Kluyveromyces lactis: one gene and its partners. The protein of the gene in region 1 interacts with the protein of each later gene in a pairwise test. Links are inferred from orthologs where the notes say so. Each region holds a gene or a part of one and is shown on either strand. Other genes may lie near its edges.

What was found.
Region 2: the proteins of SHO1 (region 1) and AHK1 interact in a two-hybrid assay, tested with the Saccharomyces cerevisiae proteins (2 studies listed by BioGRID). The link is inferred for Kluyveromyces lactis from reciprocal best matches to the Saccharomyces cerevisiae genes SHO1 and AHK1.
Region 3: the proteins of SHO1 (region 1) and FUS1 interact in binary tests that used the Saccharomyces cerevisiae proteins (3 or more experiments, as listed by UniProt). The link is inferred for Kluyveromyces lactis from reciprocal best matches to the Saccharomyces cerevisiae genes SHO1 and FUS1.
Region 4: the proteins of SHO1 (region 1) and INN1 interact in binary tests that used the Saccharomyces cerevisiae proteins (3 or more experiments, as listed by UniProt). The link is inferred for Kluyveromyces lactis from reciprocal best matches to the Saccharomyces cerevisiae genes SHO1 and INN1.

Annotation. Positions count from the first base shown.
Region 1 is NC_006041.1:626,690-632,563, reverse strand, and holds SHO1 (osmosensor SHO1), read right to left. Parts: upstream 2,788-5,874; coding exon 1,714-2,787; downstream 1-1,713. Other genes in the region: DNA-binding protein kinase TEL1, read left to right, coding at 1-1,410; AVT5 (amino acid transporter), read right to left, coding at 3,111-4,481; MRP21 (mitochondrial 37S ribosomal protein bS21m), read right to left, coding at 4,843-5,307; MAP2 (methionine aminopeptidase), read left to right, coding at 5,700-5,874. UniProt on the Saccharomyces cerevisiae protein: Plasma membrane osmosensor that activates the high osmolarity glycerol (HOG) MAPK signaling pathway in response to high osmolarity.
Region 2 is NC_006038.1:267,747-275,051, reverse strand, and holds AHK1 (Ahk1p), read right to left. Parts: upstream 4,229-7,305; coding exon 1,187-4,228; downstream 1-1,186. Other genes in the region: SEI1 (seipin), read left to right, coding at 290-988; E3 ubiquitin-protein ligase BRE1, read left to right, coding at 5,263-7,254.
Region 3 is NC_006039.1:116,184-122,410, reverse strand, and holds FUS1 (Fus1p), read right to left. Parts: upstream 3,462-6,227; coding exon 1,929-3,461; downstream 1-1,928. Other genes in the region: KLLA0_C01584g (uncharacterized protein), read right to left, coding at 1-308; KLLA0_C01562g (nitroreductase family protein), read left to right, coding at 1,130-1,720; KLLA0_C01518g (uncharacterized protein), read right to left, coding at 5,280-5,726. UniProt on the Saccharomyces cerevisiae protein: Required for cell fusion. Negatively regulates Sho1p signaling to ensure efficient cell fusion. Interacts with SHO1.
Region 4 is NC_006037.1:995,529-1,001,658, forward strand, and holds INN1 (Inn1p), read right to left. Parts: upstream 3,096-6,130; coding exon 1,929-3,095; downstream 1-1,928. Other genes in the region: RPC31 (DNA-directed RNA polymerase III subunit C31), read left to right, coding at 1-361; KLLA0_A11550g (uncharacterized protein), read right to left, coding at 559-1,623; THO2 (Tho2p), read right to left, coding at 3,360-6,130. UniProt on the Saccharomyces cerevisiae protein: Required for the ingression of the plasma membrane into the bud neck at the end of cytokinesis, leading to the separation of the mother and daughter cells. Stimulates the synthesis of the primary septum (PS) by CHS2.

The sequences.
Region 1 (5,874 bases):
CTTCAAGATTCGGAGTCCAAAGTAATTGACCCAGTAACCAAATCAAGGGTTGAAGTGGTTAATAAAATAATTGCTGCTCTGGACATGTACGATAGTGGCCGATATGGTTCACAATTTACTCGTCCTGTTCAAGCGTTTTGTTCCATGTCTGTTGCTTTAGCTTGTCATAAAATTCCTCCTAAAATGAAGTTTTTACAACTGGACACACTAAATATTGGAAAGTACTGGTTAGAAACCTTACCGAAAGTACATTTACCTCTGCCTACACTGCCAGTCAAAATCACATGCTCACAGGATGGACGCCGTGAGGGACGCAGCTATATTTCAAGTATTGATCCCAAAGTACTCATTTCTTCATCTGGTCTGTCACTTCCAAAAATTGCAACTTTTACAGTATCAGACGGGACCAGACATCGTGTTCTTTTAAAAGGTAGCAATGATGACCTCAGACAGGATGCAATTATGGAACAGGTTTTCAAACAAGTGAACAAGATACTAAAGGCTAATAAGACAACTAGAAAGCAAAATTTAAGCGTTAGAACCTATGAGGTAATCCCCCTTGGTCCACGCGCGGGGTTGATTGAGTTTGTTGCAAATTCCATGTCTTTGCATGATATTTTATTGAATTTGCATTGTAACGATGAAATCAGTTTCGATAAAGCTAGAAAAACGATGAAAGCCGCTCAGAATCACAGTGTTGAGGAAAGAGTACTTACATTCAGTCGAATTACGGAGAAAATTAAGCCTCAGTTAAGACGCTTCTTCTTTCAATCTTTCGTGCATGCACATGATTGGTATGAAAGTAGGAACAGATATACTAAGAGCGTGGTAACATCATCGATTGTCGGATATCTGTTAGGCTTGGGAGACAGGCATCTTAATAATATTTTGATTGATATAAAAACCGGTGAACCCATTCATATTGATCTTGGAGTGGCATTTGATCAGGGAAAGCTATTGCCAATACCGGAACTGGTTCCCTTTAGACTAACAAGGGATATTGTAGACGGATTTGGCGTAGCAGGTATCGAAGGTTTGTTTAGAAATAACTGCGAAAGAGTATTTAAGGTGTTACAAGACGAGAAAGAGCGATTATTATGTGTTCTAAATGTTCTGAAATGGGACCCATTATATTCATGGAAGATGACTCCCTTGAAGAAGCAAAGATTGCAAGCAAAGTTTACTGGTGATTATGATGAGGAGGAAATTAGTGTTTCCGATGCAGATTTCAGCGAGCTTTTAGAAGAAGATAATAATAATGATGAATCCATAAGAGCACTAAAGGGAGTTGAAAGTAAGTTATATGGAGACGGTTTGAGCGTTGAAGCAATTGTTCAGGAGCTTTTGTCCAGTGCTACTGACAAACAAAATTTAGCGACAATTTACATGGGATGGTCCCCATTTTATTAAGATTGATGTGTTTGAAGTTCTTACTCGAGATGAAGACTTTATTATACTACCAGCACCTGAAGCGATTTGCAAGCAGTATAATTATAAATAATAGCATATTCATTAAATAGCATGATTCATTCGAAGCAAGTATTTGCGTGTTAATGAAGAATTCAGTAACTGTGTTGATAAAAGCACTTGAATTTTTCGCGAATAAGGTTGATAAGCCGGTTGTTATTGCAAACTGTGGAAATAATATAATATAAAAGACGATACACAAATCAAATGTTTAATGATACAAACTGATGGGAGGCAGTAATAAAATCAGTGTGATTTCCCATCCAAAAGCTTAACGTAATTACTTGGGATAATCCCTGTTTCCCCGTTTGACTTCTTGGCTTTCCACCATCTACCCTCGATATCACCAACCCTGAGAATTTCGCCCTGTTCGAAGGATATTTCATACGCGTCAGTTTGGTCCGCTTGATAGGTATATAAAGCCTCTGCAGTGTATGGGAAACTGTTTAATTCTTCACCAATGTCACTGTATAGGCCTAATGTGTCTCCCATGGTAGTATCTGTGTTGGCATTGGTGGTATCTGTGATGAAAGTGCCAGTGGCCTGTGTATTCAGTGTAGCAGTATTTTGCGCATTAACATCAAGGTTTGGTTTCGAAGAGGAATGATCTGTATTTTCAAATCCGTTCAGCACTGTAGACGACACATACTTTGTAGACGATTGAAGTTCTGGCGCATACATGTTGCCACTGTGGCCCTCACCTTCGTCATCGTGGTGGACATCAGGCAGAGATGCTGAACGCAAGTCTTCCTGGTATTGGTATGGGTAAGAAGGTTTGACCGGCAGTCTCTGCGATCTGGCAATAGCCATGGATGTCTCTAGCACCGAAGGACGAATTCCGCGTAGTGAGAACGAATCGATCCATCTATTGGTTGGAGATGCATTATCTCCACCAAAATAAATCACCCACACCAAATTGATCATGGATAACAAGATAAATCCTGCTGCTGCTGCACCACTCTTGGACCCTTCATAGTACACAATACTGTTAGTACTATTCGAAGTATATACGAATGCGATACCAACAGCACAAGTAATGAACATTCTATAGTAGTCAACTAAATCCAAACAGTACACGATAAAAAGCGTAATCATTAGTAGTATCTCGTAAACTATAGTCCACCAAGAAAATCTTGGGAATGGAGACGTAGATGCTGCAACAGCAATGGATCCCGCCAATGCAATGATCCATGAGATCAATGCAATACTAAGTGTGCCTATGGCAAAAGGATCGCCCAAAAATGACGAGATGTTAAATTGATGAGATACATGCGGATTCTCCCTTACAGCACGGGCTTGACTTGCTTTAATCAACGCCATCTCTCTGTTTGCAGATATTCCCTTGCCTCGCTGGACTATTGGAACACTTGTGACAACACAACAACTAAAATTGAAATAAACTTGCTTCAAGTTCAAGTATGTTCGTATTGATTACTTTTTATATTTATGTATATACGGTATACATTTATCATTTTTTTTGGTGTCTGTCTACAATGAGAGATGAGTTATTTTTTGATCATGTGACAGGCAGCAACCAAAGGCTCGCTAGGAATACGCGGGCCGCTTATTTAGAGTGTCAATCGGGAGTACAATTGGTAGCAGTATCAATGGTTAGTCTCTAGTACCCTGTTTATCCTGTACCCTCAATGTGTCGCATGTAGAAATATGGTAGCACTTAGTGAAGTTATCATGACGATGAATCCCCAAATAGCAAGTAACAATGAGATAATTCTCAAGATTCGTTCTTTTGCTGGTGGTACAACGGATTTGGCGTACTCCGATGCGATTAACTTGTAGCCAAATATTCCAGGTAAGATGAAGGATATAGAAGTGGATCCGGTTGCTCCTACTATTGACAAAACGTTTGCTAGCGACGTAACACTCATAGCGAGGATGTACGAAAATAATAGGATTCCAGACGTGATAAAGATGAATCTAGGGCCTTCTAACGTTACTACTGGAGGCTGATTAGCGCTGTTTTCTTCAATTAATTCGTCTTCGCATTCGTAGGTTAACTGTTCGCTAGATTCGAGTTCAGAGTCCCGTAATAGACTGTTTTGTTCTGCACTTGTGGTTGTCATTGGGGGATGGGTGTTCCCCTTGGAGAAGTAATGTAAGATATGATTGACAGATGCTCTAGCTGGATGACATTGTAGCGGGAAGGCAAGGATCACTAACAATGCTATAGCTATTCTACCGATGGTGCTGGAAATGGAGTTTGGGTATAAGGTGATAATGTTACCAGTAATATGATCACCGAAGGTGCAATAACCTAGCGCTCCAATGGAAATGTACAAAGACATTGCTAGCGTAATGGCAATCCTAATCAATTTCGTTATACTGTCTAAAGATTTGTCTGATTGTTCATTGATGATGGAAAACATGTTGTGATGGCAAGTATACGCGAAAACGAAAATTGGAAAACTGCTTAGCATGGATGAATCCACATCACTGGGTTTCCAGATGCTAACATGGCCTCTTAAATGGTCGATTTCGCTATTTGGAACGGCAAAATGGAAGACAACTAATACGCATAAGTACCCAACTGCTGTAATTGCAATGGAAGAAGTGTACCTTAAAGAGTCTAACTTCTTAATGAAACACAACGGTGTCACGATGATCAACGTAACTGCAGTGATGTGAAACTGGCGTGATAAGAGCCACCCATGGGTTGTAAACGTGGACATTATCTGTGGTAACAAATCTCCAACGACCACCAAATATGAAACTCCGACCCCAAAACATTTAACAGCAATTGCAGCATCGAAAACGACGCTCAATTCAGGACGAGTTAATCTGCAAAGAGTGAAAAACGAGGCATGTCCAGGAGGAACGTATTTCGACACGTATGATTGTAAATATAACCCCGTAGAGGAACACAAGCCGCAGAATATAATCATTGACAAACCCAAAATCAATCCAAAGGGTTTAAAAGCATAAGGCATTGCAAGGATACCAGCCCCGCATGCCGTATGAAGAAGTGTGATGACCCCAGATTGTACACTGGATGACATCCTGTACTACGTTATAGTTAATTTTAAGGTGCTATCTCGTCAGTAGGAGAAACTACCTGTACTTCCTTATTTTGTGTTGCATAAAGATATATGGTCCTAAGAATCAAGCAAGAATCATTGATTTTTCAAATATTATGGCATGCAGACGATAGAAAGAAGGACGCAAGATAATGTACAAAAGATAAGAAATACAGTTTAAGCTTCACCGCAGTAACCCAGTCACTGATGTTATTTGGAAAAAATGTCTGTTGTTTGAAATATTTTTGTTTTCTGTCTTTTGTTAAACTATATACATGTTGGAGAGAGATGATTTCGTTTCGACATGATTTATGTATCTACATAAGAAGCCATATAAAGCCATTTAGTAACCCTTCCTCTTGGCGTCCTTGACCACCTCTATTAAGTTCTTGAAACTCTTCATGAACTCCTTTCTGTGCTTTTGAGACTTTCTCAATTCTCTTGCCTTACCAGGCTTCAAATAGAACCTTTGAGCCCTCTTGTCCTTTTGAATGGAGTTCGATCTTACGATGGACCCTAGCCTTTGGAAAGCAGCCATGGTGTTACCGCTAAAGACATCAATAGTTCTTCCAGCTTGGATTCCTGTTAGCTTGGAACTCAAAGTATCTTCTCTTGGCGACTGCATCATTGCCGAAAAGGACATGTCTTTCCTAGATCCGTTTGACGATTCCTTTGCACTTTTAGATAGCGGAGTCAACCTTGTATAATCTATGATTTCTTGTCTCCTAATAGTGCATTGTGTAAATTGTCTGGACAATAAAGTAGATGTCCTGCTGGCACCCAATTGGAACCCTCTTGCAGTTAGCATGGTTTGATTTGCTTTCCTATCCTTTCAAAATGTTAAGTCCCGTAGCCCGATAAGATCGCGTTAGACCTCACCTAAATTTTAAAATATCCACCACAAGCAGTTAGTTCTAGTAAACTTTCCCGTTATAAGTGTCGGTTCAAAGAGTGCAGAGAATGGCTTCTTTTGAAGTTTGGAATCCTGCTCAGATGTTGGTTTTTCTTATCTTATTTCATTTCGTCAAATTTCATGTTGAAAAATTTAAAGCTTTGGAAGATTGAAATTCTTGAGAGAATATAAAGGTAACAAAGCAATGGTACGTATACTCTGGTCATAAAGAGATGAGGTGACCGATGTTATACAGACAAGTTCTGCAAAGACCCATATTGCAGAAATCAATTCTAGTTGTTTAAAAAATGGTGGCTGATACAGATGTCAAAGAGATTGTTGTAGATGCACTTCCTGAGGTTTCTGAACCTGCAGCTGTTGATGACAGTGAAGTGACAGAGGATGCTACCGTGCAGGATAAGAAGAAAAAGAAGAAGAAGAAGAAGAAGAAGGGTAATAATATGAAGAACATTGCTTTAATAT
Region 2 (7,305 bases), on another chromosome or scaffold:
TCTTATTACATACAAGTATACATCATCAAAAGGTATTCCTTACTTTCTGTTGTATTCTATCGTTATAAGCTGCAGTCCGTTAAAACTCAGTGGACTTCATACCTCTATATATTTATCTGTCGTTTTGTATACTAAATAGGATTCTGGAGCGTTGGAAAAATCAAGATTATATTTAAAGCTTTCGCTAGTATTTTAAGGTAAAGAATATATGTAAGCATGAAGTGAACAGCTGCCGTTGCAAAACAAAGAAGTTGAAAAGCGTCACTCCCCGATAGCAAGCTATAAATTAATGAAGATAAACGTATCCATTCCACTTCAGGCAGCAAGATGGTTTTCTTATTTGCTTATACTTATATGCATTGAGATTATCTTCATTTTACCATTATCGAATCTTTTATGGATAGATTTTATCAATAGGTTGATTCCAAACAACAGAATGCATGTTATACCTTTGAGCAACATGGCTAATTCTTGGACAGTTCCATTTGATTTGCGGGTCATTGCCAATGTTACATCAACTAAAGAGAATGAAATACGATCAGACATACCTTTAGATGTTACCTTAAATTTGGGGATTTATTGTACTTCTCACCGACCAATTGAGGCCGTGACTTTATCAATAGATGACAATCCCAGAAAGTTACCTCTTGTATGTTTTGATAACTTGAATTTTCTCTCTTCAAGATTCAATGGGTTCGATTCAGTGTCAAAAACTGTCAAGAAAGATGTCATCAATGACTTTAAGTTTGGATTTCCTGTAAATCCTGATAACAAGAGGATCAGGATAGATTTAAAGGACTATACTGAGGACTACCTTTTAAGTTACATCAATGTCCAATTTTCAGTGAAATATACCGGATTCCGAAAGTTTTTACTAAGCTGGAGAAGAACTTGTCATCTATTGGGCACTTTATTATTTGCTAGTTTGATTTCTAGTTGCTTCCTATTATCTTTTACTGGTGTCTTCAGCTATATTGTAATGGCATAAAACAGACACTCAAGTAGTTTTATTCTAACTCACATCTCATCCTGATGTTAAACAGTCATACTCTGTTGAATTGTTGTATTTGGAAAAATGCGAATTTTTAATGATAATAGAGTTTCTATTGACTTTGATTGTTCAAATGACTTGATGCATTAAAAAAGTAAAATTAGGAAAGTACGAAACACATATATACAAAAGTTTCTACTTATAATTTGATATTGCTAGTAGGCCCTTGTTCAAAGAATGGTTTTGGTAAAAACCAGGGTCTAACTCCATGTAAATAAGGTTGTTTCCGTTAACCTTCTCAAACTCGACAAATTCCTTCATAGTAAGATTGAAAGTGTATATTACTTTTATCAACTTGGTCAGTCTAGTGATCAATTTCATCCTTTCAACAGCCGTAACAGGGTTATAGTCTTGCTGGTTGATTATTTTTTCATCCATGATATCAGACGATCCCGTGAATGTGTCACCTTCGAAAAGCTGATTGAGTTCTATTTGTGGGATCGTATTTTCTTTCTCCTTCGAGATTTCGTTGTCGTAAACCTTGGTCACAGAGTCCTCAACAAGATTCAACTGCTGAAGTTCCTCAATGGTAGGTGCTAGAGAGTCAAAATCAAATCCATCTAGCAGTGTGTCATTTGCGATGCCGAATGGATTCGGTAAAGGTTTATCATAGGGTTTGGTGCTTTTAACTCCCCACTTCTTATTGAAATCTTGGATTTTATCCAGTAAGTTCTTCCTTTGTATGGCCTGAGAGTTCACCGTTACAGTTTTGAACACATATCTGATGGGTTGCTTCTGTACGATATCTTTGCTAAATTTTGACTCAGGTGGGGCCATAAGCTTCCGTTTCTTAGTAGTTTCGGTGTCTGAATTGTTTATGATATGAGATCGGGATTGCTGTGACAGTTTGTACAAAAGGTCCTCCGAAGATTCTGATCTTGATGAGGTCGATGCAACAGATGATACGGTGCTATACATAGATATCATCTCTTGAGTATCAAAGGTATCTGTTGTGCTACCTGAAGCTACACTATCCCTCCTTTTGCTTGCCGATGATGGCTTTGGAGGTAGTTCTGGTTTACTTTTCGAAAAACTAGACAACAGAGCCCCAAAGCCAAATTTGGGTCCACTTTCCTGCTTCAAGTTTTCACTTTCTGCAGTGTCATTGCTGTGGAGACTTGATGTGCTGGAAGAGCTATCGTTTCTTATTGATCCATTCTCTCTTTTATTTTTGTTTTTTTGAGCGATCATTATAGCTGCTCTGCTTACTAGCTCATCAGACACGTCAAAGGGATATTTCCCTCTATGAATAACAACACCCGGCCGGATATTGGTCATCCGTGACATATTATTGAACAATGCGGTGTTGTTGACATTTTTGTTATTTGCTTCTGCATGCATACACTGGCTTACGAGTAGGAGGTCTTCTTCATACAATGGTTCTTGACGCTCTAGTATTAACCTATTATTGGTATGGAAAAATAATACCGTTTTCTCATCAACTAATTCAGTGTAGTCACAGTTCAAAACGTTAATAATTTGCCAAACCTCTTTATTTATGGCATAGAATTTATGTTTGATGGCATGAATCTGATCCGTTGAAAGATCTTTATCCGGGAGTATTTTGAACACGAGTAATTTATGAAAAAGAATGCTTATGATGTGGAAGTCAGTATCAACAGACAGTAGATTCCATAACTCGTCGATAATAGTAGTAACCACCCGTTTACGATGAGTGACAGGGATGACACTCCACACATTGAAGAGACACAACAAACCGACTAATTGAGAATCAACATTGAAAGTTTTCAAGGTTCCAAAAATACCATCAGTCCAATCATTCCATGACATAACTTCGATAAATTTGGGGAGTGTGTCAAAATGGAATGTATAAAACTGAAATATTATATTGAATATAATATTAGCCATCCATGAATCATAAGCTGATATAACGGAAGACGCGTTTAAAAACTGCTTTTCTTGGTATGAAAAGAAGCTTATTAATAAACTTTTATCCATAGAAGTGTTATGAAAGAACCCTATTAAGGATCTGATGCATTCTATGATTCTGACAACTTGAAACTTGGTGAAGATAAAATTGATGATCTTCTCTCGACCAACATTAATTTGGTTGGGATTCGAAGTTGTTGCATTTTTCAGAAGTGCAGCCTCATGCTTGTCTTGTTTGTCTTGGATCTTGATGAACCTTGAAAGCCTTTCTAAGTCTGCCTTCAAAGAATTTGAGCAAATATGAGAAATTATAGGACAACCGGGGAAATTCTCTGGTTCCAATTTTTTTAGCCCTGACTCATGATGTATATTAAGTATAATGTACCAATAATGAAACAAGAAGGTGGTAAGAACCTGAGGATTCTGTAGGTATGAGATCATGATGGGGAAAGCTTTTTTTGTTTCTTGTGTCATAACATCACCATATTCAGTATTACCAAACTCTTCTATGATGTCCTGTGTATACTTAGATTGAGGTACACCTTCATCAAGAATAGCAAATTGCTTACTTCTGCAAGGTAGTAAACTCACTCCTTCTATATTTTTTATGTCAAATCTTCCTCTGGAAATGAACTTCACAACTTCGAAGTCATAGTGTAGTTCATCATTCAAATAGCATAATGCAAATGCAATGATTTTACCTATTAACGGTGTTAATAGTGCAGTATAACGTTTTAGAAACTGTAGAATGGTAGACTCAGTATTGGTGTTTGCCATTTGAGCAGCTGTATTTCTTACCTCTAAAAGGTCCGCCCTTTTTCTAGAGTTTAAAACCAACCTGTTGGTCACCCATCGTACAGTTAAAAGTAAGTGGTACGAATAAATTTCACGGTCTTTGTCAGTGGAGGTAGTGGTTAGTGCAGTAAGTGTAATAATTCTGCTGATACATTCGAGTGAAACTGAGATTGCATCTATTGTAAGAGGCGTATTAGTGGTTTCTGATATAAGATCTGAGTTTAAGAAATTGAGTAAAGTTAACCACCACTGAGTCAGTACATCTTGTTTAGGCCTGTTACGTAGTTCTTCTTCTGAGGATACTTCAATAAGTGGTTCCAGTTTACGTAATAGCGATAATAAATTCAATCGGAGGAAATTCGTCACCACTTTCAATTGTGACACAGACAACCCATGGTCAGGTCCGTGACCAATAGAACCCGAAGAGGCTGTGAGGTTAATGAATTTATTCAAAGAATTCAAAAGATGCATATCTTGCCTGCCAGTATCCATGTTAAATCTGTCTGTTCTTGATTTCTTTTACTGTTGGTTCTCAAAGTGTTCTATCTCAATTAATTGGTAACTTTCTTAGGTTACTGGCTGAAAGGTCGTTCAAAAGAGGATTTTATAACTCTAACCGCATGTACGAAACCTTTCCCCAAGCACGTAAGGCAACTATCGAACGAATAAAATGTTTTCTGAGATCTAAATTTGGGTCAGAACTGGAGAATCTACTTTTGTTCCCAGAGACAGAAAGATTTCAAAACACAGACGTCAGAGCTTTTGGCAATCCCTTATGAAATGTGAAATAATCAAAGCGAACGTTTTACACCAGGTGTTGATACAATCACTAGGGCTTCTCACAATAATACAATTGGATTTGGTCCCACTGCTATTCTCTTGTCTCTACACAAAATACTGAATGAATATAGAAACAAACTTTATATATTTTATGTGAACTTAAAGGATCTCAGATCTTAGAAATTCTTATATTGAAACGGAATGAAAAATCTTTGTATACTAAAAACAACAAGAATCTATTAGTAACACATGTAATAACATCAAATTCAACGCCATTTCCCATCACATTAGAACGCACACAGCCCAAGAGTTTACCATGTAATGAATTTATCAAAAAGTGCTGCCTGGCACTTCCTTTTTCCACCCTGCGAACATGGATTACTTGCTGCTACCTTCACGTGACCTTGGTTTTCGATAAATTCGCCAAAAATATTTCAAAGAAAAAAAGTTAAAAAGGTTTTACTTTAAAAGTTGACAAGATAGCATCACTAATGTCGGTCTTGAAGAGGTATCTCGAACGCCTTGTAAGGGTACTACTCGGCAAGACGTATTACTGACATTATAGTTTGCAAAATACTTAGTGTGGGAGGGTTTTTTTCAGTCTTTCACATCTAGAGATATATAATTTGAGACTGATTATCAGTGTGATATTCTGAGCTTACGAAATTCACGAAAGGTTTACTGTACTTGCTCACATTGTCATACAAGCTCTAAGTTTTCTGAGACCTATACATAAATCCGCATATATGAATGACCATTTTGTTAAGCGGCCAAAGCTAGAGCTTTCCGATCCTTCTGAGCCGTTAACGCAGAAGGATGTAATAGCGTTCCAAAAAGAGGCATTGTTCAGATGTTTGAATAAGTGGAGAGTCAAAGCTAACCAGCTTGTAGAAGAGAATGAGGTTTTAGCGGCTGGGCTTTCGAAGACCACCGAGTCGGTTTCTGGATGCTGTTCATCTATAGTCGTATTGGCTAGATCTGTGGTTGAGGACTGCAGCGATGAGCAGGACAAACGCTTTTTACAACAACTCATCAATACTGAGGATGAGCATACCCTTACACAGATAATCAGCAATAACAGTGCTAGGATATGCGAACTAATACTGAAGACCAGTGGATCTAACATCTCTGATAACATCGGTAGACTACAGGAGCTAGAATCGCTCACTTTGACTTTACAGAAGCTGTTGAAATCCTCTGAAAATAAGCTGAAGAAGGCTACCGAATATTATGAGAATATAATTGCTCAGTATGATAGACAGGACAGTGAAAGTGTTTCTCGTGTGTTTAACACTGCTGATGATGATAGCAATGTAAAGAAAGAGAAGCAATCTTCGACTGGCGCAAGCTCTGTGAATGACGAGTCAAATGATAACTCAGACAAATCCCAATCTAATAAAGAAAGTGCAGTATCTCAGGCTCACCACGAAATTGAAATAAATGACTTGAATACTCAAATCTCCGTCTTGGAGGCTACGGTAAAGGAATTAACGGAATGGAAAAATCAAAATGAAAGAGAACTTTCGGAACTACGACAAACAGTAGCATCTAATAAATCAGCGCTTTCTAACAACCAACTTCAATCTAATTCGCAACATCAACCAGATGCTTCAGTTACTAATGAAAAAATCAGTTCCTTAACTAAACAGAATGAACAGTTACAACAGATTAATGAAGGCTACTTAACCAAGTTTCAACAACTATCCGCGGATAGAGAAATATTCAACAATAAACTTACCTCAGAGTTTAATTTAGCACAGGAGACCCTTAAAAAGCACAATGCTTCTCTAGAGAAAGATTTAGTTAGGATCAGAACAATTCGTGATGAATTATTGGCCAAAGTTTCTCTTTTGGAGGCACAAAAGACCAAATCTGAGATGTTAGAGGATTTAGAAAAGTCATTGAATATCCAACAAGAACAACTACAAAAGTTTGAATCCAGAAGTTCAGAAAATGCGTCCCAAGATGCATTAATGAAAGAATTACAGGATCTCGAAAAGGCCTTCAGAGAGGTGTCACATCTTTCAAACAAAAAGTATGCTGCATACCTGAACCAAGAATCTGTTTTAAGTAAATTGACAGTTGAAAAGACAAAGGCCAGCGAAAAATATTTTGCTGCAATGAGATCCAAAGATGCTATAATGATAGAAAACAAAAATCTTTCTAAAAATTTGAACAAATCAAACGAGCTCATCGTTCAATTGAAGGACCTTGAAAAGACGTTACAACAGAAGATCGTAAACGTTCACATGCAGTTGAGCCTATCCCAAGAGAATGAGAAGAGGGTCAAAGAATCTAACAAAGAAACTTCAATGAAGATAGTGGAATTGACATCTGAGAATAATAAATTGAAAAAATCAACAGAACGTCTTGAATCAGAAACCAGAAATCTAATCGGAACTAAGACTGAGCTCGAATCTAAAATCAAGGACAAAGATATCGAAAACAAGCAGCTGAAGATCAAGGTTTCCAGTGCTGAAGCCAAGTCAAAGAAATTATACAAGACATTACTCTCTAATGGTGGTGACAATGGTGCTCTAGCCGAAGAGTTAGAGAATTTCCGTACTATAATCTACTGTTCATTATGTTCCAAAAATTGGAAGAATACTGCCCTCAAGACTTGCGGTCATGTGTTTTGCGATGTTTGCTGCAAAGAAAGATTAGCTGCTAGGATGAGAAAATGTCCTACATGTAACAAACCTTTCTCATCTAACGATTTACTATCCATACATTTATGAACGAGTCTTATTCCGCATTCTATCAGGGTGCATCTTGGAAAACAAGGCCGT
Region 3 (6,227 bases), on another chromosome or scaffold:
GCCCATTGCTCAGGCAATTGAAAAGTATAACTTTCACCTAATGTCAACGCAGAAACACCAGTATTCAGTAACAACGAAGGATTATTCAACCAATCTTGAACTAATTTCCATTTGTCAGCAACCGTTACATTTGGAAACCGTTTAGAGTAGGATTCTAAGTACGAAAAGTACCATATAGGCAAGAAACATTGAATTGGTTCGTTTGTTTTGCCTATTAATACGTTCAACCACTCTATAACGTGAGGTGATGATTTGGCATCTTCAGGAAACGGCAGAATGGCTTGAAGATCTTGCAGTAGCTCGACCATTCTAGAGAGGAGTTGAAGGTTGCAAACACGACGTATGCACGTTCACTAGATAGTTCGAGATACAGGAGACATCTAGTTAGACCCTTTTCTACCATTGAATCATTGATGATACTAGGAGTCATTTTAGGTAAAATAGAAGAAACAATAATCTGATCATGTGACCCATTGATTGGCTTTGTCTTTGTTTCCACCCTCCATCTTGTTATGACATCCGGATGATGATAAGCACCGGTTCGATACACAAAAAGATTTCCTTACACTGTTAGAAAGGCTTCATCTATACCTGAATAATTTATTACTCATATTTGAATCTCGCTATTTACGTAAGTAGATACGATTAATAAAGTTGACATTTCTCTTTCTGGTTCAAGCTTCCTTGAAACTTCTCGGTATTAATTTAATAATGTAAGCGTTTCTGTTAATTTCACCACTTTTCTTCACTTTAGTAAGCGCTATTGTCAGTTTTTACTAAGATGAATAATGCCTAAAAAAAAAAAAATCAAAAAAAAAAAAACCGCTCGAAACGACAGACAACACGAACACTGTGTCTTAATGTTTCTGAGGAAAGTCAGGTCGGTGGTTAGAAGTACCCCAAGGTGCAAGACAATCTGGGATTACGGGGTTGGATAAGCCATTGTAATAGACTGATCTATAGTTACTCCTAGTGTAAATAATTGATGTGACACTGACATATATATATGAGGATGGAAACAATTATCAAGTCTGTCTTGTTTCACGCTAACTTTATTCAAGTGTAGTGTATGGTCTTTTAATATATTGATTCTACGGAGGTCAATCCAATCAACCTAAAACTGTATCTAATGTCTGCTGCTGCCACTAAACAATTCTTGAAAGCTATTGCTGCTCGTCGTACTATCTATGCGTTGAAGCCTGAATTGCCATCTGGTGTATCTATCAATGATGTTCAGGAAGTGGTCCAGGCCATTGTCAAGGACACCCCAACTTCTTTCAACTGCCAAGGTAACAGAGCAATTATTCTGACTGGTGAAACCCACAAGAGTGTATGGGATTCTGTTGTGAATGCCATTGAAGGTGATAACGGTAAGAAAAGACCTGCTTCTGCCAGAGATGAAGCCTTCGGTTCTATTATCTTTTTGACCGATGACAAGACTACTGAAAAGTTGCAAGCTGACTTCCCAGCATGGTCTGCTATCTTCCCATCTTTCGCCGAACATTCCAGTGGTGCTGCTCAAATCTCCACATGGACTGCCATCGAATTGTTGGGTCTGGGTGGTCACTTGCAACATTACAACGGTTACGTTAAGGCTGCTTTGCCAGAAGGTGCTATTCCACAAGAATGGACTGTTCAAGCTCAATTGGTCTTTGGACTACCAGCTGCTGAAGCCGGTGAAAAGACGTACATCGATAACCCTGTCAAAATCTTGAACTAGGTATCTGGCATGTCAATCTCTAACGAATAAGCTGATATAAATTAAAGGAAAAACGTCATATGTGTAGACACATACTATATAATGAAGGAAAATTAAAGATTAACTACAAGTTATTTGAAACTGCCGGAAAATTAGACCTAGAGATTGTTCCGCCAAGAGCCAATCAAACAAATACTATCGTTTACTATTACTTGTGATAGCGATACATTTACATACTCTCTTGAAGACATAACCCGGGCACAATACCACGGTTTTCATTCAAATAAGTGGGTCCATCTAGTGAACTATGGTTTTGGATATTACTTCTTTCCACTAAACACCATCCGTCTGTGTGTCTTGCAAGTACTCGTACAAGTTCACCTCCTCGTATATCTATTTCATCCATCAACACAGCCTGATAGTCCTTGACAACACGGTATAATTTTGCCTGCTCTTGAGCAGTTGATTTTCTCGCAGATCGTAAGTCATGATGGTCACTTCTTGCACTGACATTATCCGAAACATGTTGATCATCGTTGGCCGACGTGAAGTGGGGATTAGGCGGCTTGGGTAGTGGTTTTGTTTTCGATAGTTTATCCAATTTGAGCAGCGTTGGATATGTTGGTTTTAAGTTGGTATCTATTATTTGCGGTTTGATTACGCCTTGTTCCGTTCGTATCTTAGATTCATTGATTGGTATTTCACTTTCCTCTTTAAGTTCTAATGACGGCAGTGATTCAATAGCTTCATATGGAGATCGAGGAACACTAGGAAGCATCGGTGACATTTCAGTGTACGGCTCCTCCCCATTTATAGTGATCTTACTCTTATTTGCTCTTGCAAGTATATTAAGTTGTTTCAAATGAATAGTAGGGGTCTTTGCTGTTTGAATTTTGTCTTGGATTAGAGTAGATTTGGTTAAAAACCATCTTGAAAGTGGCGATTCATAGTTCCATTTCTTGAAGGGTGATGCTAATGGTCTGGGAAACTGTCCTAAATCCATTGTCGAATTTGAGTACGCATTCGTGTCGCTTTTTTGGTTAACATTTTTTCTGTATGGATTGTCCGTAAATGCCAATTTTTCCGGTGTTTGAATGAGTTCAGGATGAGAAATATAAGGTTTGCTAACTTTGTATGTGATCTTAGAGCTTACGCCGCTATCATACTTTTCATCCTGTTTCTTTTCGTTGAAAAGTTCTGCTTTTTTTAAATCATTAAGTTCTTGCATCCCATATAGCTTCCCTAACACCGAATCTGGCTCATGCTGTTGCATATTTTCATTATCAGGATCAACTTTTGAGTGGAATCTTCGATAGTACAAGAACCCGAACACAATTCCCAATCCAACGACAAACAAGGCAATTGGTAATCCTATGGCAAGACCTAAAATGGTACCACTAGTATTTTTTCCATCCGATGTACTGGCTAGACTGTTCAAGGAGATTCCTGATGTCATTCTCGCTGATTGACTACTCTGAACTCCCAATGAGCTACTGCTATGGGATGTAGAACTAGTAGAGGTGGATTCTTGAGAAGTTTCAATCGTAGTGGTGACTTGATTTGTAATAGTTGCAGTTTTAACATTTTTGTTCAGTTGAGTTGCAAACGCTGTCGAGACGGTAGTTAATGCATATGGTAAAGTATTTGATGCTCGATAGTATTGATCAACATAAATTGTATTAATGACAGTAGCTTCATTATGTAGAATAAGTTCGTTCATTTGCGTCTGGATCACCGTTCGTGTTTCTGTTTCTATTTCCATCTTAGTTATTCTTCTATTTTTTCCTCTGGTTTCATGGACGCCGAAAAGTTACGCGTCTGCAATGGTGCTTAAGCACCAAATCCAAGCGTGTAAAGTCAACCAACGAAGAGTCAGAAAATAGCAGAAAAAAAGTGGCTATTACATTCAGTATTTATGTCACTGAATTATCAAAGTTAATTCAATACGTTCATGTTTCATAATCCCAAGGGAGCCGGAACGTTAAAAGTGTATCAATTACCTGCGTTAAAACATACTGTAACCCTTGTTTATGATACCCAATACCTCAATATCGCAAGCAGCTGTGGTTTCATGTGCCCTTGGATTCTATTTTTTCTTTTTCAAGTGTTTCAGAGTACTAACTATTTGGTCCCTGAAATTGTCTTATATCTGAATCTGCAGGTTGTTGACTTTCTGTACTTTTGACGTGAGGCTGATCCAATACAAATCTGAAACACGTCTAACAAACATCGCCTTTCTGGGGGAAGTATGTGATATCCGGGTAACATCTTATATTTGTTCTGGCATGCACTCAGGATTAATTTTCACGTGCTCATTGCATAATAGTAGCAGAAGAAGCAGCTGGCTTCGAACAAAGTTTTATTCATCGAGTACATTTACGAAGGGAAGTGTTAGTGCAAGATATCCATTTCTTTGACATGTGTTTCTAGAAAAGAGTTTTTCGCTTAAAATAGGTTTTTGAATGTCAAACGTGTGATTATTTGTATTTGGCAAACATGATCTGCAGTTTGGCATAGGCTATGAAGGAACAGCAAGGCTGAGAAAGTTACTTTCGCATCTCATTGCTTTTCTTAAAATTCTTCGCGGATTTTGACAGCTTTAAAGATTTCATCGTTTGATCTATCGAACATTTCATGACATGACAGGAAAATGGTCGCTGAGGTAAATTCAACAACTGACCACTAGCTATATTTTCTCAATATTTGTAGTTCCTGCAGTTAAGTTCGATCGAAGTTGATACTAGTGACACTTCTTTCTTCAAAAAGGCTGAAATGTTTATAGTGCCAATTCAACTGAGGTAGATACTAGGTGAAATAGACATTCCTGTGCCAAGCCACAACATCTTCTATGCTGATCAACGACTCATATTTCAAAGTAGTAGATCGCTGATTTATCCGTATTCGTCACCGTAAAAGCGTGATAAACATTTTTCCGGCCAGACAAAAACTGCCTCTTAGTCTTAGCGCTAAAAAAAAAGCTGCTTTCTTAACACCCTTAACATGACCGCCTGACATAGAATTACCAACATTCCGTTGTCGCGTATAGGAAGCATATGCCGAAGCTTCTAAAACCACTCATTAGAAACGAAATATGAGAACACTCCGAGTATACGGGAAAACCAACAATGCATCAGCTGTTTTTTGACCCATTCGTAACCATTTTTGTTTCTCTAATTGCTTTCAATACAACCATTGATATGCCAAGAAGCCCTCAAAACTTAGATATTCTCTTATTCCCGACCGAATTGTTATTTTGAGACTACATGAATGAGGCTAATATCTTATGCTCATAGTAAACTTAACCAACTACCCTTAAGTTGGCCTTACCTTGTAGTTGAGAAGGAGCATCTGGAGAAATAACATGAAAAAAAAACCCTTCTTAACGGGAAAATCTGGTTGGAATCATGAGATCTATGTAGTATAGAATCAGCTGTTTTCGCCAGTCCCTGCCTAGCCCATGAGATATCGTAAGAAATTGATGCGTACCAAGATGGTAACGGGTCCGCACTGGAAAAGTCTCAGTGGAGTTAAAGCTGCTGAGTGATAACAGCACAACGCTCCCGGATCTAACCTGTAAATTCTATATCATGCCAAAGTTTTTTCGAAAAGATTGGGTGTACGGATTATCAGTTAAAGGGAAACGCACAAAATTATTTTCACGTTTTGAGGTACAATCTGAAAAGACCGTTATGCATGTCAGGGGTAAATTCAACGTACGGGAAATATGCAGTAAAGAAAAAGGCACCAGATGCACGAAGGTACCATTTTGCTTCGTGAAATAACGCAAACAGTCGTACGCTTCTGCAGAACTGTTCGTAAGGTATTTTGAGGCATATGGCTTGGGTTGATAACAGATATTGAATAATCGAATAGAAGCAGCTAAAGCTGACCAGTTCTCAGAAGGTTCAAAGTGGGAAGGGAGAAAATGAGAAACAAATGTACTAACGAATTCTCTTCGAACACATAAGATGTCGTAGGAGTATCCTAATATGGGAATTAGTCTGGGAGCAAAACAAAGGCTGGTCATACCTCTGCTATCAGCAATACTATTACAGCGTAAACGTTAGTGACTAAAATCACAGACTGGCTTAACTGCTAATGTCTGCTTCGTAACCTTATACTTTGTTTAGTTTTTTGCAACTCATCTCTATAACAGGTGCCTATGCTATATGCATGTAGTACCTTTCTTGATGAAGAAGCTGTGCGATATTAGATTTCCTTTTTTGCATTCATGCTGAAAATTACTAGCTAGGTACTTTACTTAGCCTCAGCATTGTCAAACTGTGAGAGCAATGCGGCAATTTACGTGCCTTTCTTGGAAACCAGTTATGATCGCCATAAACCCTCGGTCTATTCCCGTTTTACTTGCTTATTTGCCTGTGCCACCAAATCGTTTAACATAAAAGACCAAAACGGACTCTCTCCAAAGAAATCCACAAATCAAAATATTTTCGTTTCCCTTTCCAGGCACGACATACCTGTGTAATACCTTTGTTTTTTTTTAGCTTTTTTTTTTTTTGCCTAAAAA
Region 4 (6,130 bases), on another chromosome or scaffold:
GCATCCTTTTAACATCGATTTCTTTCCAAAAGAACTCTACCATGTCATGGGTATCAATAAGAAGAAGTTGATACAACTGTCGAAACTGGACAAGAGCAAGACGCTCTTTGGATTGAATGGGTCTAAGGAAGAAGATGAAGCGGTAGGTCGTGCTCTTTTGGAAAAGATGAGCGGTATGGTCGATGATGATGAGGAAAACGAAGAAGGAAATGAGGAGAAGGAAGCCGATAAAGATGATATCGATGAAGACGACGAATTTGAAGAGGACGACGATGATGACTACAATGCTGAAAAGTACTTCGATGATGGGGATGATGACCTGGGAGGTGATGATGAGTATCCTGATGAAGCAGAATTCTAAGTCACACTGAGAGGAAAATCAGCCTTTATCGAAGGACCAATAAAACATAAATAAAGCATTAGATCTTTATTCGCATAAAATAGCATTTATTATAGACACTGTCTGTTAACATTTAATTTACTTCCATTATATATTGAGTTTTCCTTTAATATTTTGTATCATAACACATTAATAACATGGCATCAGCTGAAAAGCCTTCAATTTCTCATAACTTCACGAATGTATTTCTCTTTATTGAGTAAATAATACTCTTCCCATAGCATACCTTTCGGACATTTGGGGGGTACCCTGGGAGGAGGAAGAGTTGGTTGCTGAAGTACATAAAGTTGTCGTCTCGTTTCGTTTGTTTCTGGAACTGACCATCTTCCATTTCCCAAATATCCAGTTAGTTTTACATTAGCACTTGGGAAACTATGAATAAACATAAGCTTATCACCCAATTGCAAGCGAGCGTATTCATTGTTCAGTAGATCTTTTGGAGTTTCTTTGATAACTAAGGTATCGTAGTCATAGTTTCGAATCTTCTCTTTATTTTGCTCGATGAATGAATATACACCGCTTGTATCAGAAGACTCAGCTTCGTAGCTTTTCAATCCATGAGTGTAATTTCCTGCAACTACAGCTTTCTCCTTACCATCATATATAATGACATTGTCGTACACTATGTCATCTGAGTCTATGTTTAGATCATTACGTCGTTGATGCCTAGAATGTCTTCTTAATCGGGGAAAAAATTTAGGACTAGATTCTTGGTCCCTGGGTGTTGTAGCGGGTTTACTTTCGGGACTCTGAGGTAGTTGCTTGGGCAGTTTGGTCTTAATTACTGGAGAGCTCTTCTCGCTTGGACTTTGTGGGCTTTTCAAAGGTATAATAGGGCCACTTGATGGGAAAAATTCGATGTCTACTATGAATTGGACATCTTTTGCAAGTGAATTCAATTCAACAGACTTCCAAACGACATAATATTCTCTTAGTGCTTTAGGTCTCAATTTGTTGATATTAATAAAATCCTGGTCTAGGACGTCCCTCCGTCGACAACCAAGAAGATCATTCTTCAATCGTGGCCTTCGCCTAAATATAATGAACTCCATATTAGTATCCCAGTCTGCAGCTCTAACATTAAGTTCTAAGTTTCCCCTAATGGAATTGAATCGTATTGCATTTTGACCCAGTTTTAACATGAAGTATGTTCCAACTTCAAGCTGTTTTCCGACAGTTATTTTACTGGGCAGAATTATCAATTTACCATCTTGTCGTATCATTAATCCACTGCAGTGAGGTTCCTAATTCGAATAGTATCAAACATAATACAGCAGAGTCTTCTTTCGAGTATTCTTGTGCGATTACTTTAAAGTTCTTTCTTTATATATTCTTTTCTCATCTTAGGACCCTTTGGTTGAATAATCATGCAAAAAGGCTTAGCATTGACAGAATTCAAGGTGCAACGATTGAAACCATTTTAGATTCCAAGGCTTCGAGAAGATAAGAGGAACATCTAATATGAGTAGTGATAGAAAAACTTTTAACTGTCTATCCTATCAATGATTATGTAGTTCTAATAAGTCATTTATAATGGTGGTGGTCTCCTCCTTGTTGGAGAAACCGAGCCTGATCTTGAAGAAGGCGAAGAAAAAGAATTTGGCAAGTTCGGTAGCCTTGGAGTAGTAGGTTGTCTCACAGGAGATTTTAACGGATATTTTTGTCCGGCTGAATGTCTCACTGAAGATTGGCTGGATAGTCTTGAAGGCGTAGTCGGAAGAGGTGGTAATGGCGGTTCAACAAACGATTTTGTAGGAAGGTGATTCATAGGCGATGGCTCGTCAATGTTCGTTGGTATTCTTGAGCTTGAGCTACTCTCGAGACCGCCACCTACCACTTTCTGTAAGACTTCCAAATCCATCGCAGTGTTGGTGATACTCTCTGTAGATGGTACCGAGGAGCCGTTCTTGAAATAATTCAATTTTTCTTTGATCAGCTTTAACTTGTCCATCAGCCCATCAGTAGATTGGCTTTGTTGCGAATGATAGGTATTTGCTGTAGCATTAGACCCCATCGATGAATCAAAATCTATTCTTTCACTTGAAGCGTGTGATGATCTAGAAGTATCGAGGTTTATAGGTAGATCAGGAAGTGGAGATTTTATATGAGAGCCGTGAACGTATTGGCCTGGGGATGCGGAAGCAACGAACCGCTGCTCACTTGCCGATGTCTGCAGTTCATATTGTGCATGTAACTCCGGTGGATCTGACGGTAGTGGTGGTACTGACCTGGACTGTACACTGGAACTTATTTTTGGAACATTGTCGCGTCTGTCTTCGCTAATGTTATTTGGAACAAAAGTCAATTCAATATACACCTTACCAGCTTCCAAAGGACCCCTCTTCAGATGATACCACCTATCATGGCCTTCTTCAGGGTCACTTAGTAATGCAGGCAAAAGATCAACATCGCACTTCCCAATGAGCTTCGAACCATGTTTGTGATCATGGTCATCGTACAGTTCAACGCAGAGTAGAGGCTTGATATCGGGCGTTAGTTGAAAAACACAATGGTAATCAAATTTTGGAGTTTGGCCGCCTCTGTATATCACTGGAGATATCTCCGTAAGATGAGCTACTCTTAACTTGACGAAAGGATCTTGCTTGTCTAACTTTCTTAGATTTGGAAGGTCCTTCGCTTTACTCACATAAACATCTAATCGACCATTTGCTCCGGTTATCACGTTATTGCTCATTACACTTAATGCCTATATCGATTGAAAGGTGTTAACAGTGCTTATTGACCCATAAAGAAGCTCTATTCAAACTGTAAATATGTAGTTTAGCTTGATTCAATCTTATATTTACATAGGTCTATGTTTTTCAACATTTTTCATATTGACAGTTTTACGTGGTAAGAAGCATCAGAGTCTCAGGGAAAGACCGTACAAAATCGAAGATAATTGGTAGCATATATTATGCTATGCTATTTAACTAAGTGTCGAGTTAAGTATTTTTATTCACCTCGAATATCTCGATCCTCCAGATTGTCTTTTTGGACCAGATGGTAATGGCGATTGGTTATTTGTAGAACGATCGTTCAACTTAGGCTTTTTAACGTTTGAGAATCTGCTTGAACTTTGGTAAGATTCATCAGATTGCCTCTTTCGTGGTTCGGAGGGAGTATTAACGAATTTCTTCCCTTGATTGAATGGTCTGCTAGGAAGCTGTGATGTGTTTGAATTGCTGATACTTCTGTTGCTAGACGAATCTTTTCTTGGGCCAGATGGTAATGTGTTTTGGAATCTGCTAGATGAACCTGAGCTTGCAGGACCAGATGGTCTTGAGGAAGTATCCGGAGGCTTAGACGCGTTGGCTGGTGCTCTTGGCAGAGTTGTTGAGGCTATACCATGTTGATAACGAGAAGAAGCTGCCTTTCTTGGTTCACTAGGTATTGGACGGTTACTGGAAGTGTTGGAGTTCCATCTTTCACCACTGTACTTCGATGAAGGTTTAACAGGTACTACTTCATCTTCATACATACTTCCAGGTGTCTTGGTTTGAGGCAAAGGAGCAGATTTGCATCTTTGAATAAAATTTTCAAAGACAGATCTGTAGTGATCAGGTGGATTACTAGTGACTCGGTGGTAATAGTCCTCGAACAATATCTTCAATTTGTTTCTAAATCCAGAGATGTTGCCTGGAGCTTTTATCAATTTTCTAAAATCACTCTGAGTGTTAGAATCGTATATCAAGGGAATGGCTCTGGTGTACTCAGCATCCTTAATGTACTTCTCGATCTTATAAAAGCCATCCATGACTTGCGATGGAGATGGAGAATTGTTGGATATGGACGACATGGATGGTGCGGTAAGTGAAGATGTTGCAGCACCGTTCTCAGCATCCTGTTGTTTTGCCTTTTCCCTTTCCTTTTCTTTCAATTCTGCTTCTTCCTTTCTACTTTGCTCTGCTTTTGCAGCTTCCTTCATATCTTGGTACCTTTTGATGAGATTCATCTCGTCTTGCAGTTGTTGCTGTTCTTCCGCTGAAACTTCACGGAAATCCGATGTCTTAGAGGCGTTCTTAAGTCTAGCCTTTAAGTGTCCTTTCAAAGCGTTTGATGGCAAAATGATATCCTCCCTTTGCTCGTGTTCAATTAAATGATCCAAAGTGTCTAAAACCAATTCCAAATGTTCATCAACGACAGGGAAGATTTCGCTTATAGCATTTAAAAACTGGATTGTGTTTCTAATGGACATGTAATTGGAATCCTCTAAGGTAAATGATAATTGTTCTGTTAATTGATAGTAGAGGTCATATATTACAGGTTTAATTTTGTCATCATCCAATAATGTAGTATGTCTCCAATTTTCGATTTTGGTAATAATGTCCTTCAAAAACGTAGCGATGTTGCTCGATTCATTTACCGTAGAAGAAAATAGTAAGGTTCCTAAAATGTTTGAGGATGTGAATTGCCCTAAGATATCAATTACTTCTTCGATATTAAATGTTTCAGTAATGAAAGTTGCGCAAAATATGGCATCAAATGGTGAAAAAATGAGTCTAGGAACAACGCAGTGTTGCAAAAATGAGGTAATACGCTCACGGGAGAATTCGGGGAACCATGTCTCCTTGTTCATTTTAATCATGTTCTTTGTCTTTTCAAAAACGCTTGCATGCTGAGATAGATCAAATTTGACTGTCTGTATTGTGCTTAATAAACTATGCCTCTCTTTCAAAACTTTAGCAGCCTTTCTCTTGTCTTCGTAAATGATTTTCTGCTTCGTGTACAAATCTTCTTCTAATCTAATATCATATAAGGATAACCGCCAGAAATCAATGAATAGACGTTTATCAATATTTTCAAAATTGATGCCTTTGAAATCAGTCTCATATAGAATTTCGTTGATTTCATCAGCATCATTTTCAGATCTCGCCAGCTTTGTATCGAAATAATGCCTCCAGATATCAAACGCCCACTCAACAGGAAATTGATATTTCTCAATTAAAACGTTGAAAGGTAGAATATTGGCTTTGAATTGTTCTTCAGTCAAAATGTGCTTTAACATTTCAATAAATGACCAAAGTAATGCATTGGATTCATCGCATTTCGCTGATAAGATTTTATAATGAACGTTATTATCGGTTTGAATCTTAAGATTCAAATTTGTGAGCATGATAATCATTTCTGACACTGCATTAAGCTCTAACAAGTAATTGACAATAGTTTTTGAAGGTTGATAATACTTATCTCTGAAATCCAAGATAAGATTTCTACCGATTTGTTTTAAAAAGGATCCTGAGCTTATCATTAGCAAAGTGTTCCAATTTACATCATACAACGTTTGTATTCCTGCAACTTGGGAGATTAACTCCTTCAAAATAGCCAGGGTAAGCGATGGATCCTTGTAAAGATTTTTGACCAAAAACACGAATATGTTGGACATACTCATTTTAGAACAGCCTTTAGCAAGACCCGCAATGAACAAAGATAATCTGCTAATCCACATTTTGGGAGTAATACCATCATCTTGTAAAGTTGGCCTTTCCGATGTGAGCTTAATTAATAACGTATACTGTAAAACATCGTAAGCGAATTCTGAGAAAAATTCGGCACTTATGACGATTAGTTCAGAGACTTTATCATAATTTTCTATTTGTTTTAGGATAGAGTCTAGAGTTGAAAGAGGATTGCAGGACACGAAGTTAGCAACATCCCTGCACTTAAATGCAATGTTGTCAATACTCAAAGATTTTAAAAGTGACCTTATCCGCTTTTGGTACTTATTAA